2 linked regions of the Alligator mississippiensis genome follow. The protein of the gene in region 1 interacts with the protein of each later gene in a biochemical or structural test. Links are inferred from orthologs where the notes say so. Each region holds a gene or a part of one and is shown in the gene's direction. Other genes may lie near its edges.

Region 1 (7,425 bases):
AGTGAGCAAAGGCTGCTGGGGGGGGGGGGGGCAGGGCAGGTGTGCCACGAGTGGTACCTGGCAAGCTCAGGAGGGCGTGGACAGCATGGGGACAGAAAGCAGAGCAGTGGATTAAGCAGGGAGCAGAAAGCAAGAGTGGCAGATGGGGTGGGGAGGAGAATGCAGGGCAGCAAATGGGACAGGGAGCAGAAAGCAGAGCGGTGGATGGAACAGGGAGCACAGGACAGGGAGCAGAAAGCAGAGTGGTTGATTGGCCAGGGAGCACAAGGCAGGGAGCAGAAAGCAGAGTGGCAGATGGGGTAGGGAGGAGAATGCAGGGCAGCAAGTGGAGCAGGGAGCATGGTGCAGCGAGTAGATAGCACAGCAGCAGATGGGCCAGGGAGCACAAGGCAGTGAGCAGAAAGCAGAGCGGCAGATGGGCCTGGGAGCACAAGGCAGGGAGTAGATAGCAGAGTGATGGATGGGACAGGGAGCAGAAAGCAGAGCAGCAGAACAGGCAGAGCAAGGGGCCCTGAGTGATGCTTGGGGAGGTTGTGGAGGCTGATTCGTGGCCTGTCCACACAGAGGCTGCTCCCCCTCCCGGGCAGAGACGCACAGACTGCAAGGTCCCAGTGGGGGGTTGCAGGTTCTGGTCCAGCCCCCCATCCTGCACGTGGGACTCGCCGCTCCCGGGCCACCCCTGTCAGACGCCCCTGCTGCAAAATCTCCCAGATCGGGGCCCTATCCTGAGCTCCCAGGGGGTGTAATGGGGCAGCTGAGCTGTGAAGCTCCAGCAGGGTCTGGACCAGGCCTCAAGCCAGGCCTGGCCATTTCTGTAGGCTGGCGGGGCTGGGACATGGGTACAAGACATGAGAGAGCCCCTTTGAGTAGATCCTGATAGTAATCCACACTTCCATCCCGTCTCCGTGGGCACCGAGGTTCGGGTGGGCTAAGTGACATGACCAAGGGCACACAAGGAGTTAGTGGCAGAGGACATTCCCATTTCCCACCACCCGGCCTTCCCCTTGGAGCTTCCCAGCAGGCCCTGGAAAGCCCTGGGGTCAGAGGGCAAAGAAAAGGAGATGGGTGTACAGATTGGTGTACACACACACACAATGCATGCACACATGCACATGTGCGCATGCACAAAGGCACACACCTACACACACATACGTGCATGCACACAGGCACACATACTCAGGTGCACACCTGCATCATCTGCGCACAAATGTGCATGGGCATGCGCACACATGCAGGTGCACACATGCATCACATGTGCACACACACAGGAACACACAAACATGGGTCTGTACACCATTGCATGCGGAAACACATATGCACTACTGGTGCATGTATGTGTCACATGCAGGAACACACATGCATCACAGGTGCACACATGCACAAACATACATGGGCATGTACACACATGCAGGTGCACGCATGCATCACGTGTGCATGCGCAGGAACACACGTGCATGGGCACATGTACATTCATTGCATGTGTGAACACATGCATGACCGGTGCACACGTGCATACACATACATGCACGGGCATGTGCACGCAGACATATGCAGGTACACACGTGCATCACATCGCTGCACTTAGAAACTGAATTTTGAACCCAGCACTTTATGAATTGACACACCACTGGGTTGCTGGATAGCAGGGAGGCTTGTTCCAACAAGCTACAGCACTAAATCACAGAACAAAGACTTTTCTGGGATATAAAACGAGCAATTCGTCCTAGTATTATCTTAGCTTCACAGAGGTCTTTACCCAATGCGGGCAGGAAGCAGCTCTTGTGCAGCCTCCCAGCAGGGATCCTTCACTTGCTGGCTGGGTGGCAGGATGCCTTCTGGGTCTCCCCTGGACTGCACACGCCTTGCTGGCAAACGTTTAGTTCTTATACTGTTGAATTGTATGGCTTCGAAACAGATTTTTTTGATGGGTTGAAGCTGACAAGGTGGCGGGGGATTGTCCTTGGGTTGTGTTGTAACCGGCAACCTTTTGGATCCATCGCTGGACCAACCAACTGACATGCACAAAGACCCTTGATCGCTCTGGAGGTTTAGCATTTGCTTAACTATAGTATAGCTTGATTGCTCAAAGCCCAACACCCAAAACCAGTGGTTTACTACTTGATTAACTGAGGTGGGGCTTGATTACTTGAATTGAGCACCTTAGGCCCTGAATCCTAAGCCAGGGTATAGGTCATTGTTATAACAGGGCAGATCCCACAATCTTTTCCAGTTGGCAGACACCTAGACTGGGGAGGAAGGTGATAACAAGGGAGAGGCAGTCACTTTGAAAGGGGAATTTAATTGATTCATAATCAGTTTAGAGTAGTTGGGCATGGGGCCTACTTGATACCAAAGCCAGAGATGGGATGAACTGTATTGCAATGTTTCGGGTGGGCCCCATCACGAGTGTACATTCTCATGCAAAAGGCACTGATATTGTCATTTAGTCGTTTCAGTTTTGCATAGGTCTGGACAAGCTCTGCGTCCAGCAATGTGCACACGCATAAATGCACAGACATGCATGAGGGTTGCAATTAAAGATTATTTTTATTTTTATTTTTTTGCAAAAAATCTTGTTGGTCTAATAAAAGATCTCATCTCTACGAATCCTGATTGCTTTTTCCTCTAGACCAATACGGCTGCAACCTGGATACCAAAGATACATAGGCATGCACACATACGGAGGTACACACATGCATCGCATGCAGGCACACGCATAAACACGCATACGTACATGAGCATGCACATACCTGCGCACATATGCAGGTACGCATGCACACATACTCAGGTGCACCCATGCATCACCTGCACACATGTGAACAGTACGCATGCATCGCATGTGTAAACACACATGCACCCCATGTGCACACATGCACACACACATACATAGGCATGTACACACATACACAAGTGCACACATGCATCCCATGTGCACACACAAACACATATATATGTGGGCATGTACACATACATACATGCTCACACATGCAGGTGCACACATGTATGCGCATGCATAAACACACATACGTACATGGGCATGCACATACCTGCACATATATGCAGGTATGCATCCACACACACTTAGGTGCACACATGGATCACTTGCACACACACATGAACACACATACATGGGCATGTATGCATGCATTGCATGTGTAAACACACATGCATCACATGTGCACACATGCCCACACACATAGACATGTACACACACAAGTGCACACACGCATCCCATGTGCACACACATAAACACACATATGTGGGCATGTACACACATGCATGGGCACATACATACATGCATGCACATGCAGGTACACACATGCATTGCATGCATGCACACACATAAACACATGTAAGTACATGGGAATGCACATACCTGCACACATATGCGGTTATACATGCACACATACTCAGGTGCACACATGCATCACCTGCACACACACATGAACACATATACATGGGCATGTACGCATGCATCACGTGTAAACACACATACATCACATGCGCACATGTGCACACACATACATGCATAGGCATGTACACACCTACGCAAGTACTCACACGTGAACACATGCATAGACACACGCATATACATGCATCGCATGCATAAACACATATGCATGGGCACGAGCACACCTACACACACGCACACATGTACATTCATGCACTTACATGCATTTGTGTGCGTGTACACTCTTGCATACATACGCGTGTGCCCATGCATGCCCACGCCCGCGTAGACACCCGCACATCACGCGCGCGCCCCCGTGTTCACACCTGCACACGCGCACACGAGGCAGTCTCTGCGGGACCGCAGCGCCAGGAAGCCTTTAAGAGCCGGGGAAACTGAGGCACAGAGCAGGGAGGGGCCCAGCCGGGCCCTTCCCACCGTGGGGCTGGTCCCCGCGGGCCCGGGCAGCCGCCTACCCCGGGAGAAGAGCGGGGCACAGAGCTGAGGCCCGACGCGGGGCAAACTCGTGACAGCGCGCGGCGGGCGAGGGGCCGGGCCCTGTTCGTGGTGCTGAAAGCCCCGAGCCGCCTCCGGCCGGAGCCTCCCGCACCGGGAGGAGGAGCCAGACACCGGGGCTAATGAGCGCTGCCCCGGCACTGCCCTGCCCTCCCCTCCCCGGCACTCCTCTGCCCCTGTATTACACGCATTACGGTAGCATCTGAACCCTCCCCCCCCCCACGAACTAAGGGCACCCCCAGCGGGTCCAGGCAGCCCGGGGGGAGGGGGGGCAGGAGGAGAGACCCCCCCCCTTGCAGGCTCTGGGGGGAGGGGGGGCACCACCCCCGGGCAAATGCAGCCACTTCTGGGGTGGAACTGCCCCCCCCAGCACTGCCCCCCCATATGGGGGTGGGGGAGGTGAGGCAGGAGCCCCCCCCATACACTGTGGGGGGGGGCTGAGCTGCACCCCCAGAACCCCGGGTTCAAATCCCGCCCCCCCGCCAACCCATGCGTCCGGGGGGCGGGGAGCGGGGGGGGTCTGCGCGGTCCTTCCGGCCGCCCTGTCTCGCTGGTTCCGGTCCTCCAGCCCCGCCCCCCGGCCCCCGCACCGACACGGACACCCGCCCGGTCCGGCCCGGCCCCACCGCAGCGTGGCCCCCGGTGAGCCCCCCCCCGCCCTGGCCACGCCCCGCCCCCCGTGCGCACGCGCGAGCCCCGGGGACACGCGCACACTTGGGGCGGGGCCGGCGGGGGTCCGCCACGTGGGCCCGTGTTGTTGTAGGGTCGGGGGCGCGGGCCGTGACCCCCGCTCTGCCTGCAGGGGCCGGGAGCCGGGATGGCCAAGGAGGTGCGGGCGCAGTACGAGCCGGTGGCCGAGATCGGCGTGGGCGCCTACGGCACCGTGTACAAGGCGCGGGACCTGCAGAGCGGGCGCTTCGTGGCGCTGAAGAACGTGCGGGTGCCCAGCACCGAGAACGGGCTGCCGCCCTCCACCCTGCGCGAGGTGGCGCTGCTCAAGCGCCTCGAGCACTTCGACCACCCCAACATCATCCGGTGAGCGCCGCGCCGCCTGGTCCCGTGGCTCCCCCACGATCGGGGGGCTCCACCCCGTGGCTGCCGCCCCCCACGTCTCTCCGCTGCCCCGGCTTGGAGACCCCTGGCTCACCCTGTCCCCCCCCCCCGCAGGCTGATGGACGTGTGCGCCACCATGCGCACGGAGCGCGAGACTAAGGTGACGCTGGTCTTCGAGCACGTGGACCAGGACCTGAAAACCTACCTGGACAAGGCCCCGGCCCCCGGGCTGCCCCCCGACACCATCAAGGTACGGCAGGGGGGTCCTGAGCTTGCTTCCCCCCCCCAAACCCACCCACCCAGAGGCTGTTTGAGCTCACGCTCCTCTCCTGCCCCGCCAGGACCTGATGCGGCAATTCCTGCGGGGCCTGGACTTCCTGCACTCCAACTGCATCGTGCATCGCGACCTGAAGCCCGAGAACATCCTGGTGACCAGCGGCGGGCAGGTGAAGCTGGCCGACTTCGGGCTGGCCCGCATCTACAGCTGCCAGATGGCCCTGACACCCGTGGTGAGCTGGGGGAGGGGGCTCTGGGGGCACCCCGGTATCCAGGCCGCCCTGGCAGGTGGAAGCAGCCCCTGGTTAGCGGGGGTTAAGAGGGGGCTGGTCTCTGCTGATGGATCTGAGACCTCTCTCCCCCCCAACCTCTGGAGCAGGGCACAGTGAGAGCCTGGGTAGACTCTTAGCAAGGCCTCTGCTTTGCAGGGGAGCCTGGGGTGATGGGGAGGGGTCTTCTGGGCTCTCTGCACCCCCAGCACTCCCCTGGTGGCAGGGGTCCACTCCCATGACCTAAGCAGCCCCCTGCCCAGCCCCTCTCCCAGCCAGGAAGTGTCTGGGCTGGGTGGAGGGAGGAAGTGACCGATGGGGGAAGGACACTCAGCCCAAAGGCATTTCCTGCCTGGCTGGAGCCTTCTGTCCCTCCCCCACCCCATGCAGGGGAGCCCGGCCCATGGGGAGAGGGTGGGGGGGCTAAGCGACTGTATCACCCACTCGCCCGCAGGTGGTGACCCTGTGGTACCGGGCGCCCGAGGTCTTGCTGCAGTCGACCTATGCCACCCCCGTGGACATGTGGAGCGTGGGCTGCATCTTCGCGGAGATGTTCCGGCGCAAGTGAGTGGGGTGGGGGGACGGCACACGTGCGTGATGGCACAAGAGTGTGGTGGGGACACGCTGGGCATGGTAGGGCCTGGGTGAGCACCTCTTCCCCAAGGGTAGGGGGCAGGGGTCTTTGCCAGCCCCCTTGGGTGGATCCCACTGTGTACAGCATCGAGCGCAGGGGCAGGGTGGGGCCCAGCGGCTGGGAGACAATTGATTAGAGCCGAGCTAGGGTCGACCCCCGGGCGCCTTATCGGACAGGGCCTGATAAGCAGGGAGGGGCAGGGGCCAGCTCCCCCTTCCCTGGAGGGGCAGGGGAAGGGGCGATAAGGGGGTGGTCCATGTGCATGCAGCTGCCTGGGGGGGAGGCGGGACCGGGTCAGCTCCCTGCAGCAGGGGAAGCAGTGCCAAGGTTGGTGCGGCCACACTCAGGGGGCAGAGGAAGAGGGTGAAGATGGGGGGCAGGGCTCCCCCCCAGCCCCCTCTGACCTCAGCCCTGTCTCCTCCACAGGCCTCTCTTCTGTGGCAACTCTGAGACCGACCAGCTGGGCAAGATCTTCGAGTGAGTCATGGGTGGGGGGTGTGGGAATCCATGCTGGCAGCACCTGGGGGCTGTGGGGCCTGGCGGGACTCCTGTACTGAGTGGGCGGGGGGGCCCTGATCCTGCCAAAGCTGATGCCCACTCACGTGCCCTGTCCCCCCTTCCCATCCCACAGCATGATTGGGCTCCCGGCGGAGGACGACTGGCCCCGAGACGTGTCCCTGCCCCGTGGTGCCTTCAAGGCCCGTGGCCCCCAGCCTGTCAAGACCTTCGTGCCTGAGATAGAGGCCCTGGGTGCCCAGCTGCTGTTGGTAGGTTGGGAGTGAGGGGCGCTGGATGGGTTGTAGGGTGCTGCAGGTTGGGTGGGCAGTGAGGGGCATTGAAGGTGTGGATAAAAGCAAGGCCTCGCTGATGCATTAACCCTTTGTTGCTCTGAAACCCCATCCTGCTTCCAGCCCAGCCTTGTGTGCGGGGCGGGTCTCCACACCCCATGTAACCCCTCCTTCTCTGCCCCCCTCCCCCAGGAGCTGCTGACCTTCAGCCCCCACAGGCGGATCTCGGCCTATGATGCCCTGCAGCACTCGTACCTCCAGGATGCCAGTGCAGGAGAGGGGTAGCCCCCCTCCACCCCAGACCACCCAGAGGACTTGTGCACAAGGACACTGCCCCACCGACCCCACCCCCCTCTCCGCTGGAGGGCGTTTGGGACAGAGGTGCTGCCAGCTGGACGATGCCATGGACGGTGCCTACCCCCACTTCACCATGGGGCA
Region 2 (7,396 bases), on another chromosome or scaffold:
AGCTCCTTCAGCTCCCTCCCGGTAAGTCTATGCAGGGAAGTGGGGGGGAGGGGGAGGAACTGAGGCCCCCACAGTGAGGGAGGGAGAGAGGGATTAAAGTAAGACAGGGCAGGACAGGGCTGGGATGGGCTGTGGTCACTGCCCAGCTGAAGTGGTACATGGGGTCCAGGACCAAGATAGAAATGTGCAGCCACAGGGCCCAGTGAGGGGTAGGGGGGGGGGCTCCCTGCTGCTGCGCATAATCCCAGGAAGAGAGGAAGGGGGGGGCACATGCCCCCTGGATTTGTGTGCAGGGGTGGGGTAGATGTGAACTGCCAGCTGCAGGCTTGGGGCTCCCTACCCTGCTGCCCTCTCCCAGGGGCCTCCGCAGCAGAGTGGGGTGGGGAAGCTCAATGCCACTTCAGGGAGCCCCATGTTGGCGACACCACCATGGCAAGCCACCCCCTGCCTACCTAGCAACAGCTGGGGGACACAACTCCATGCTGCTGCTGCTGCTGCCAGGTGGGCAGGGTTGCCTCACCATGGTGGCAAGGCCAGCATGCTGTTCCCAGCCATGGCACTGAGCCTCCCCTCCAGGGCCCACCCACTGAGCTGCAGAAGCCCTGAGCCCACAATAGGCAGGTCATATCTCCCTCCCCTCTCCCCGCAATGGGCTTCATTTCAGTTGTGCTGCCCACAGTGGGGGAGGGGGGGAGTGGCAGAGAGCTGAACTGCATGCTCCACTCTGGCCACAGCAACCACCACCTCCCATGGGAGGCCTCCGGGGCTTGGGTGCTGATGGGGGGGCGGGATAGGGGGCTACAGGCCGTGGCCCTGGTTTCTGTAGCCCTGGCAGCTGGGGGCCCCCTTAGCTGTGGGGTGTAGCCCATATAACATGTTGAAAGCTGCATGTGTGGCCCACTATGGCAAATAGGTTGAAAACCGCTGAATTAGAATATAACCTATCAACCATATTTCTGTATTCACTAGCCTTCTTTAATAAGCTTCTGAAATTGGCCAGGTAATAGAATAAAAATTTCAAGGTGAACATGGATTTTTTTTACTTTTCTTTGCCTGCCTGAACTGCATGTGAACCAAAGTTTGAACTTCTTAAAAACTTTCTTTTGAAACCTAGGCAAGAAGTTTTTTTCCTTAACAGGTGACCATGTGTTAGAGGCTTTTTAGGACACAGGGATGAAACTTAATAGAGCTCTGTATGCAGATGATGCACTCCTTTTTGTAAAAAACCCTCTTTTTTCCTTAAAAGCAATAGTATTCCAGGCATGTAAGTTTGTCTCTTTTTATGGATAAAAAAATAATTATGAAGAATCAGAAATGTTAGATCATGGTATTTCTGAGAAACTTAAGCTTATATAAATGTATATATGAAAAACTATATGCATTTAATTGGGTTAAAATTCAATAAGATGCCTGGGTATTAACTTTACAGTAAAGCACAAGAAACTTTTTATCACCAATTATTTGCCAGTCTGGTCTAAAATAACAAAACCCCTCAGAAAATGGAGGGGGATGGGGGATGGATATTTCTTGGAGAAACAGAATAACCACTTTTAAAATAAATATATATCCCAAAAATTCCTTTACTGTTGTAAAGCTTAACTATATGTATGCCAAGGAGTACATTAAAGGCTTCACAAACTTTTCTCCTGAATTTTGCCTGTAAAAGTAAGAGGCCAAGCGTAAGCACATCAGTTATACACAGGCCTTCTAAAATGGAAGATCTTGCAGTGCCCACCATAATGGCATATTATCATGCAGCCCAGTTGAAAGATATACATTGGTGTGTGAAAAGTTGCTTTCCCCACACTCCTCCCCATTAACTGTCCAAAGAATTCCTCCCTAGAACTGATCAAAAATGCAATTCTTAGCATGTCTATATATTCATTAATGTGCCTTTCCTACTGCATTAAGTTTAGTACCTCTAATATGAGGTACTAGATAAAGGCACAGTAGCAGCACTAATGCAGGGTAGCAAAGGCATTTTTTTTGTGATGCTCAATGCACAGCAGACTAATTCTACTGCATATTAGTTTTTGCTGCAATGTGCTAATGCACAGTAGAACAGTTCAGGGTACATTAAGGCATCTGGTATAAACATACCCTCAGTTTGGGTCAGGGTGGGTATTCTCCAGTTAGGCAAATGCTTTTGGGAGGAGGCTATGAGATCTTATAAAATAAAGGAATCTGTGATAACCCTAATGGAAATGAGTCCTTTTTTCAGTATCCTCACATTAGGAATTTTATTTAAAAAATAAATAGAAAAGCATACTCCCTTTGAGCAACTGACATATTGTGGACTCAAGAAAAAAAGAGTTAATCTTATATATGCAATTTTAATAGAGAAAGGGATGGCTAGGAAGACTAAACAAATGAAGGCTTGTGAAAGAGACCTGAGGAAAGAAACTGAGCTAGAGCACTGAAGAGAAATTTGGGGACAGAGGTGTTCATTTTCCATATATGCTTTCCAAAGGAAAAAAAAAAAGCCTTTTATAAAATACTCCAAAGATGAGACCTATCTCCAACTAGAATCCAACACATATTTTCTAATGGTGATGCATCATGTTGGAGAAACTAAAGAGAAAGAGGTCCCTTTTTCCATATGTTATGGTTGTGTCCAAATGTACAAATATTCTGGGGGGGAGGGTGGAAGGGGGAAGTTACTAGTGAGGTGGGTGGTAATAATTCTTTGAATCCACTGGTTTGTCATTTGAATGCCCCAGTAAAAGTCGTTAGCTAGATTACAGATGGCTTATATGTGGAAGGAACCATCCCCTCTTCCTCTCCCCCATAATGTGCTAACCTAAAATATAGGATGTGTTGTTGTTGGACAAACTGTCATATCAAATTAGATTACCAGCCTAAGACAAAGAAGGAATAGATATTTCAAAATATGGGTTCTATTTCCAACCTATACTGATCTATTTCTATTGCTGAGGGCAAAAAATTACCACCCAGTAAGCTAGTCTCTAGTCAGATTCTTTGAAAATTAATTAATGACCACACACATACGCACACACACACACACACACACACACATACACACACACACCACGATATTGATAGTAGTGATAATTTATAGGAATTGTTTTGTATTATTTCTTTTGTAATGATGTTACAGCTTCAACCTCATTCGAATTCCTGCATGTTCCTCTTTGTTTCCGATTTTGCTTTATATAGTTGCCTGAATCAAAAAAGTTGGGGGGGGGGGGGAGAGAGAGAGAGAAAGGAAAGAAGACTTCCAGAGGTTATCTACTCGGACACTGTACAGCTCTGTTCAGACCAGCCCAGAAGGGGAATCTCAGGATCCCACCTATAATGGTGCTTATTTTAATGGTAATGTTGGGAGATGCTCGGTACTAGAGTATTAAAACATATTAAGAAAGTAGGGCTGGAAGGGATCACAAGGCAGGCTTGGTCATATCATATCATAGAATCATATCATAAAAATTAAGGCTTGGACAGGACCTAAAGATCATCGAGTCCAACCCCCTGCTGTGGACAGGAATAGTGCTGAGTTCAAATGATCCCAGCAAGGTGTCTGTCCAGTCCCGACTAAACCATCCCTCCTAAGTGTCAGTCCAACCTACTCTTAATAGTTTCCAAGCAAGGAGATTCCACAAGTTCTCTAAGTAGTCTATTCCAATGCCTGACCACCCTCAGAGTCCCAAAGGTTTTCCTACTATCCATCCTAAATCTCCCATGCTGCAGTTTGAGGCCATTGCTCCTAGTGCAGTCCCCTACAGCTAGAGCCAGAGGGAAAAATCCCTCCCCATCTTCTCTGTAAGGCCCTTCAGGTATTTGGAGACTGTTCTCAAATCGCCCCTCCCCCCGCTCTTCTCTTCTGCGGAATCAAGAACCCTAGCTCCTTCAAGCTTTTCTCAGAAGCCTTGCCCCCCTGGCCCCGAACCACTGTTGTCTCTCTGCTGGGCTTTTTCCAAGAGATCCACGTCCTTCGTGAATCGCGGGCCCGACAGCTGAGTGGCATCTCCCATCCCCCCGAGCTGGCGTTGAGATGAGGCGCCTGGGCAGGGTTTGCCATAGGCAAGGGCGCAGTGGCGGCCAGCCTTTGCTCTTGGCGTGTTCAGCAGGGGCCCAAGACACTTTTCCTGGGGCCGAAGGAAAGCTGGTAGTATGGTCGCGGGCCTGGTACCCAGCGCTGCTCAGCCTACACCTCCTGCCCTATCCCCCGTCCCCGCGAGGCAGCCCGCGCCCACGCTGCGCGCTCCGGATGGCCAGGCAGGCGCTTGCGCCGGGGCTGGTGGCAGCGCACCTCCACCCAGCGGCTGCAGCCCTCAGGGCCGTGCGCGCCCTCGAGCCGACGCGGGGTGGCGGGGCTGGGGGGGCTGAGCACGGGAGCAGGGGAAGATCCCGCCCCTTTCCCGCGGGACTGAGGGCGGCCGGTGGAAACGGAAGGGCTACGAGCTTACAGGCTGCGGCAGCAGCAGAGAGGGGGCGTGGGGGCTGCCGGCTGGCGGCACATGGCGGCGAGCCCGGGCGACCAGCTGGCCAGCGCCGCGGCGCGGGGGGACTGCGCGGCAGTACAGGCGCTGCTGGAGGCGGGCGCGGCCCCCGACGCCCAGAACAGCTTCGGCCGCACGGCGCTGCAGGTAGCCTCCCCGCGGGGGCGGCTGAGCGCGGGGGAGCCGGCTAACTGCACCTGGGTTTCACAGCGCTGGGACTGGGGGGTGAATCAATCGCGGGGAGACGTCGGAGAGAAATCTGGGTTGAAGAGGGGACCCCACCCCGGGTTTAGCAAATCCTAATCCGTCTGGTCCCCCAGGAGAGTGGGGGAAGGGGGGAGTTCCGGCTGCTTGCGCAGGCAGCTGGAAGGGGCATGTGCGTTCCCCTGGTCCCGGGGCCCCGTGTCTTCCATTTCTCTTCTCTTCTTCCCTTGGTGGATTTTTTTTTTTTTTTTTTTTTTTTTTTTTGCGGGGGGGACACTTTTGTTGCTGGTGTTTTTTAGTTTTCGTTTGTTTTCAATCCTCTTGATAACACTGGCGTGCAAGGCTGCATTACTGTTCTCTAGAAACGGCGCCCGGGTAAGAGGGCAGAGATATAGAGAGCAGAAGGTTTGAAAAACAAAGCTGTAAAAATTCAAGGAATTAAGTAATTAGATTGTCTTGGTGCACAAAGAGTGATTGCAGAGAAAAACGTGGTGCCTCTAGTTGTTGGGGTTTTTTGTTTTGGGGGGGGTTGGTTGTTTTTTTGGGGGGAGGGGAGGGGAGGGGGTTGTTTCTTTTTGTTTTCAATCCCCAACCCAGTGTCAAAACACCAGGCTGAACTGGGCATAAATCAGCCACTGACTCTGGAATAATTTTGGTAGCCTACAGACAAGATGCATCGTTCTTTTCTCTTTATTACTCTTGGAAAGGAAAGTAATAAAAAAACACATGTGGGGGGAGAGAGAGAGAGTCCATTTCCAAGTAGGTTCAGATTTTAGATCCACCCTATAGTTTTCTCTCAACCTGTATTTGAGATTGGGAAGAGAAGCTACTGCCATTTAATTAATAAAAAGGTTGGCACACAAAATAGCTGCCATGCAGGTAAGCTTTTACAAAGAGTTTTAGCCATTTAAAATGTAACCTGCCCAGAAAAAAAGGCATGCAAAATGTCCATGTTATTTATATGTACCTTTTAAATGAATATTTAAAGATAATATTCCATTACCTGTATTCAAATTTTCTCTCTCTCAGAATGTAGTTACAAAAAAGTTTAGGTTTCAAGGTATTTAAGGCAGCATTAAGTGTCAAATACATTATTTTGTTTAAAATGGGGATTTGTGCATGTTAAAAGTTATGTAAATCAAATCATATAAAGAAATTGCAATATTAGTACAGTTCTATTTGTTTCAAATAGCAAGTGTGAGGCAGCCAGTTAAGAAAATGGATTCTTCCTCAAAATAAAAAATAGAAGTGTATGCTGTCTCGACTTATACCCCCCCAAAAAACAAACCAAAACAGAACAAAAACACTTTTTCCTGGATTCCTTTTATTAACGACCTTATACTATTTAATTATTTGGCTACCTAACTGAGAAAAAAAAATTAGTCCCCTTTGCACTAAGGCAGACAGGGATCTTTGGGTAAATCTGATATTTTTTATTAGACCAATTAAAATAGTTGGAGAAATTTTTCTGTTGCAAGCCAGAGAAAGAAGAATTTCTCCAACTCTTCACCCTATGTCCTTAGACCAGCATGGATGACTACAACCTATACCCTTTGCACTAAAACACTGATACTTGCATATACCCGACAATAATAGAAGTCTAACAATATCGATTTAATTTAGTATAGTTTATATTATTATGTATTTATTACACACGCTTCTGTTTACAAAAGCCTATTTCCATGAGTCGCTGAAAGGACTAATGCCCAGGCTGAACGAGATAGATTCTGAGCTCGAGCGCAGTACACAAATGATAGCGACAGGGTCCAGAGCAGTCCCTAAGGATGTGCGGGGCAGGGAGTGGCGAACTGCAGGAGTCAGCAATGCTCGGCGGTGGTAGAGCCGGCGGTGCGTGGCGGCCGCGGCAGGGCCTGTACTGCACTGTCCACGGGCCCCACCAAGGCGTGGGGCCCCGGGCAGTCGCCCCGATTCGCCTCCCCCCCACCCCCAATAGGGACTGCCCTGACAGGGTCACAACGATTACCCATTGTCAGAGACGATAATCCCGTGGATAGTGAGCAATCCTTTCTCAATAGGCGATCTCCATTTCGTTTAGCCCAAGAAGTTTCCCATGCGGGCACTAGCGAAAACAGATCTAGCTTACGTACTGCAGGGCTGGGGGCCTACTGTCTACTAAACTTACAGGAAAAAATGTCCCCTTGTACTAAAACATTGGTATTTGCAGAGGCTGGACAATAATAAGGGACCAATAATATATCATAATTTTAAATAATATTATTATATAATCAGTAATATTTTTAGAATTGTACTATACACTATATAACATTGATATTTGCAGATACTGGACAATAATAGGGACTAATCATATACATATTATATATATATATTCTAATATATATATTATTGGTCCCTATTATTGTCCAACAACTGCACATATCAGTGTTATATTTATATACATATATTTAATATAGTGTATAATACAATTCTAAAAAAATAAATTATTAAAAATAAAAAATTGCAACTAATTAATTCATTAAAATTAAAGAAATTTAAATTTAAAAAATATTTTAAAATGTGCTGCTCACCGGGGGAAAATATCTTCAAAGCAACCGGAGTTAGGAAATTTCATATCGGCGGAGGATTGCCCCAGGATTTGATTTCTTCTCCTTGCCCCCCTTTTTTCGGGGGCGAGGAAAGTCTGACTGGTTTTAAAGGGAGCACATGATCTGGTTCTCGTTCCCTCCTCAGTTAACAAAGGAAACGGTCGGCAT

Evidence for each region. The genes of interacting proteins can lie anywhere in the genome.
Region 2: the proteins of CDK4 (region 1) and cyclin-dependent kinase 4 inhibitor B-like form a complex in vitro, tested with the Homo sapiens proteins (12 studies listed by BioGRID and IntAct, with this or other methods). The link is inferred for Alligator mississippiensis from reciprocal best matches to the Homo sapiens genes CDK4 and CDKN2A.

What each region holds. Positions count from the first base shown.
Region 1 is NC_081838.1:7,482,905-7,490,329, reverse strand, and holds the start of CDK4 (cyclin-dependent kinase 4), read left to right. Parts: upstream 1-4,425; 5' UTR 4,426-4,456; coding exon 4,457-4,609; intron 4,610-4,769; coding exon 4,770-5,002; intron 5,003-5,134; coding exon 5,135-5,270; intron 5,271-5,361; coding exon 5,362-5,529; intron 5,530-6,019; coding exon 6,020-6,129; intron 6,130-6,625; coding exon 6,626-6,676; intron 6,677-6,830; coding exon 6,831-6,966; intron 6,967-7,179; coding exon 7,180-7,272; 3' UTR 7,273-7,425.
Region 2 is NC_081826.1:175,523,615-175,531,010, forward strand, and holds the start of cyclin-dependent kinase 4 inhibitor B-like, read left to right. Parts: upstream 1-4,386; 5' UTR 4,387-4,478; coding exon 4,479-4,607; intron 4,608-7,396. UniProt on the Homo sapiens protein: Acts as a negative regulator of the proliferation of normal cells by interacting strongly with CDK4 and CDK6. This inhibits their ability to interact with cyclins D and to phosphorylate the retinoblastoma protein.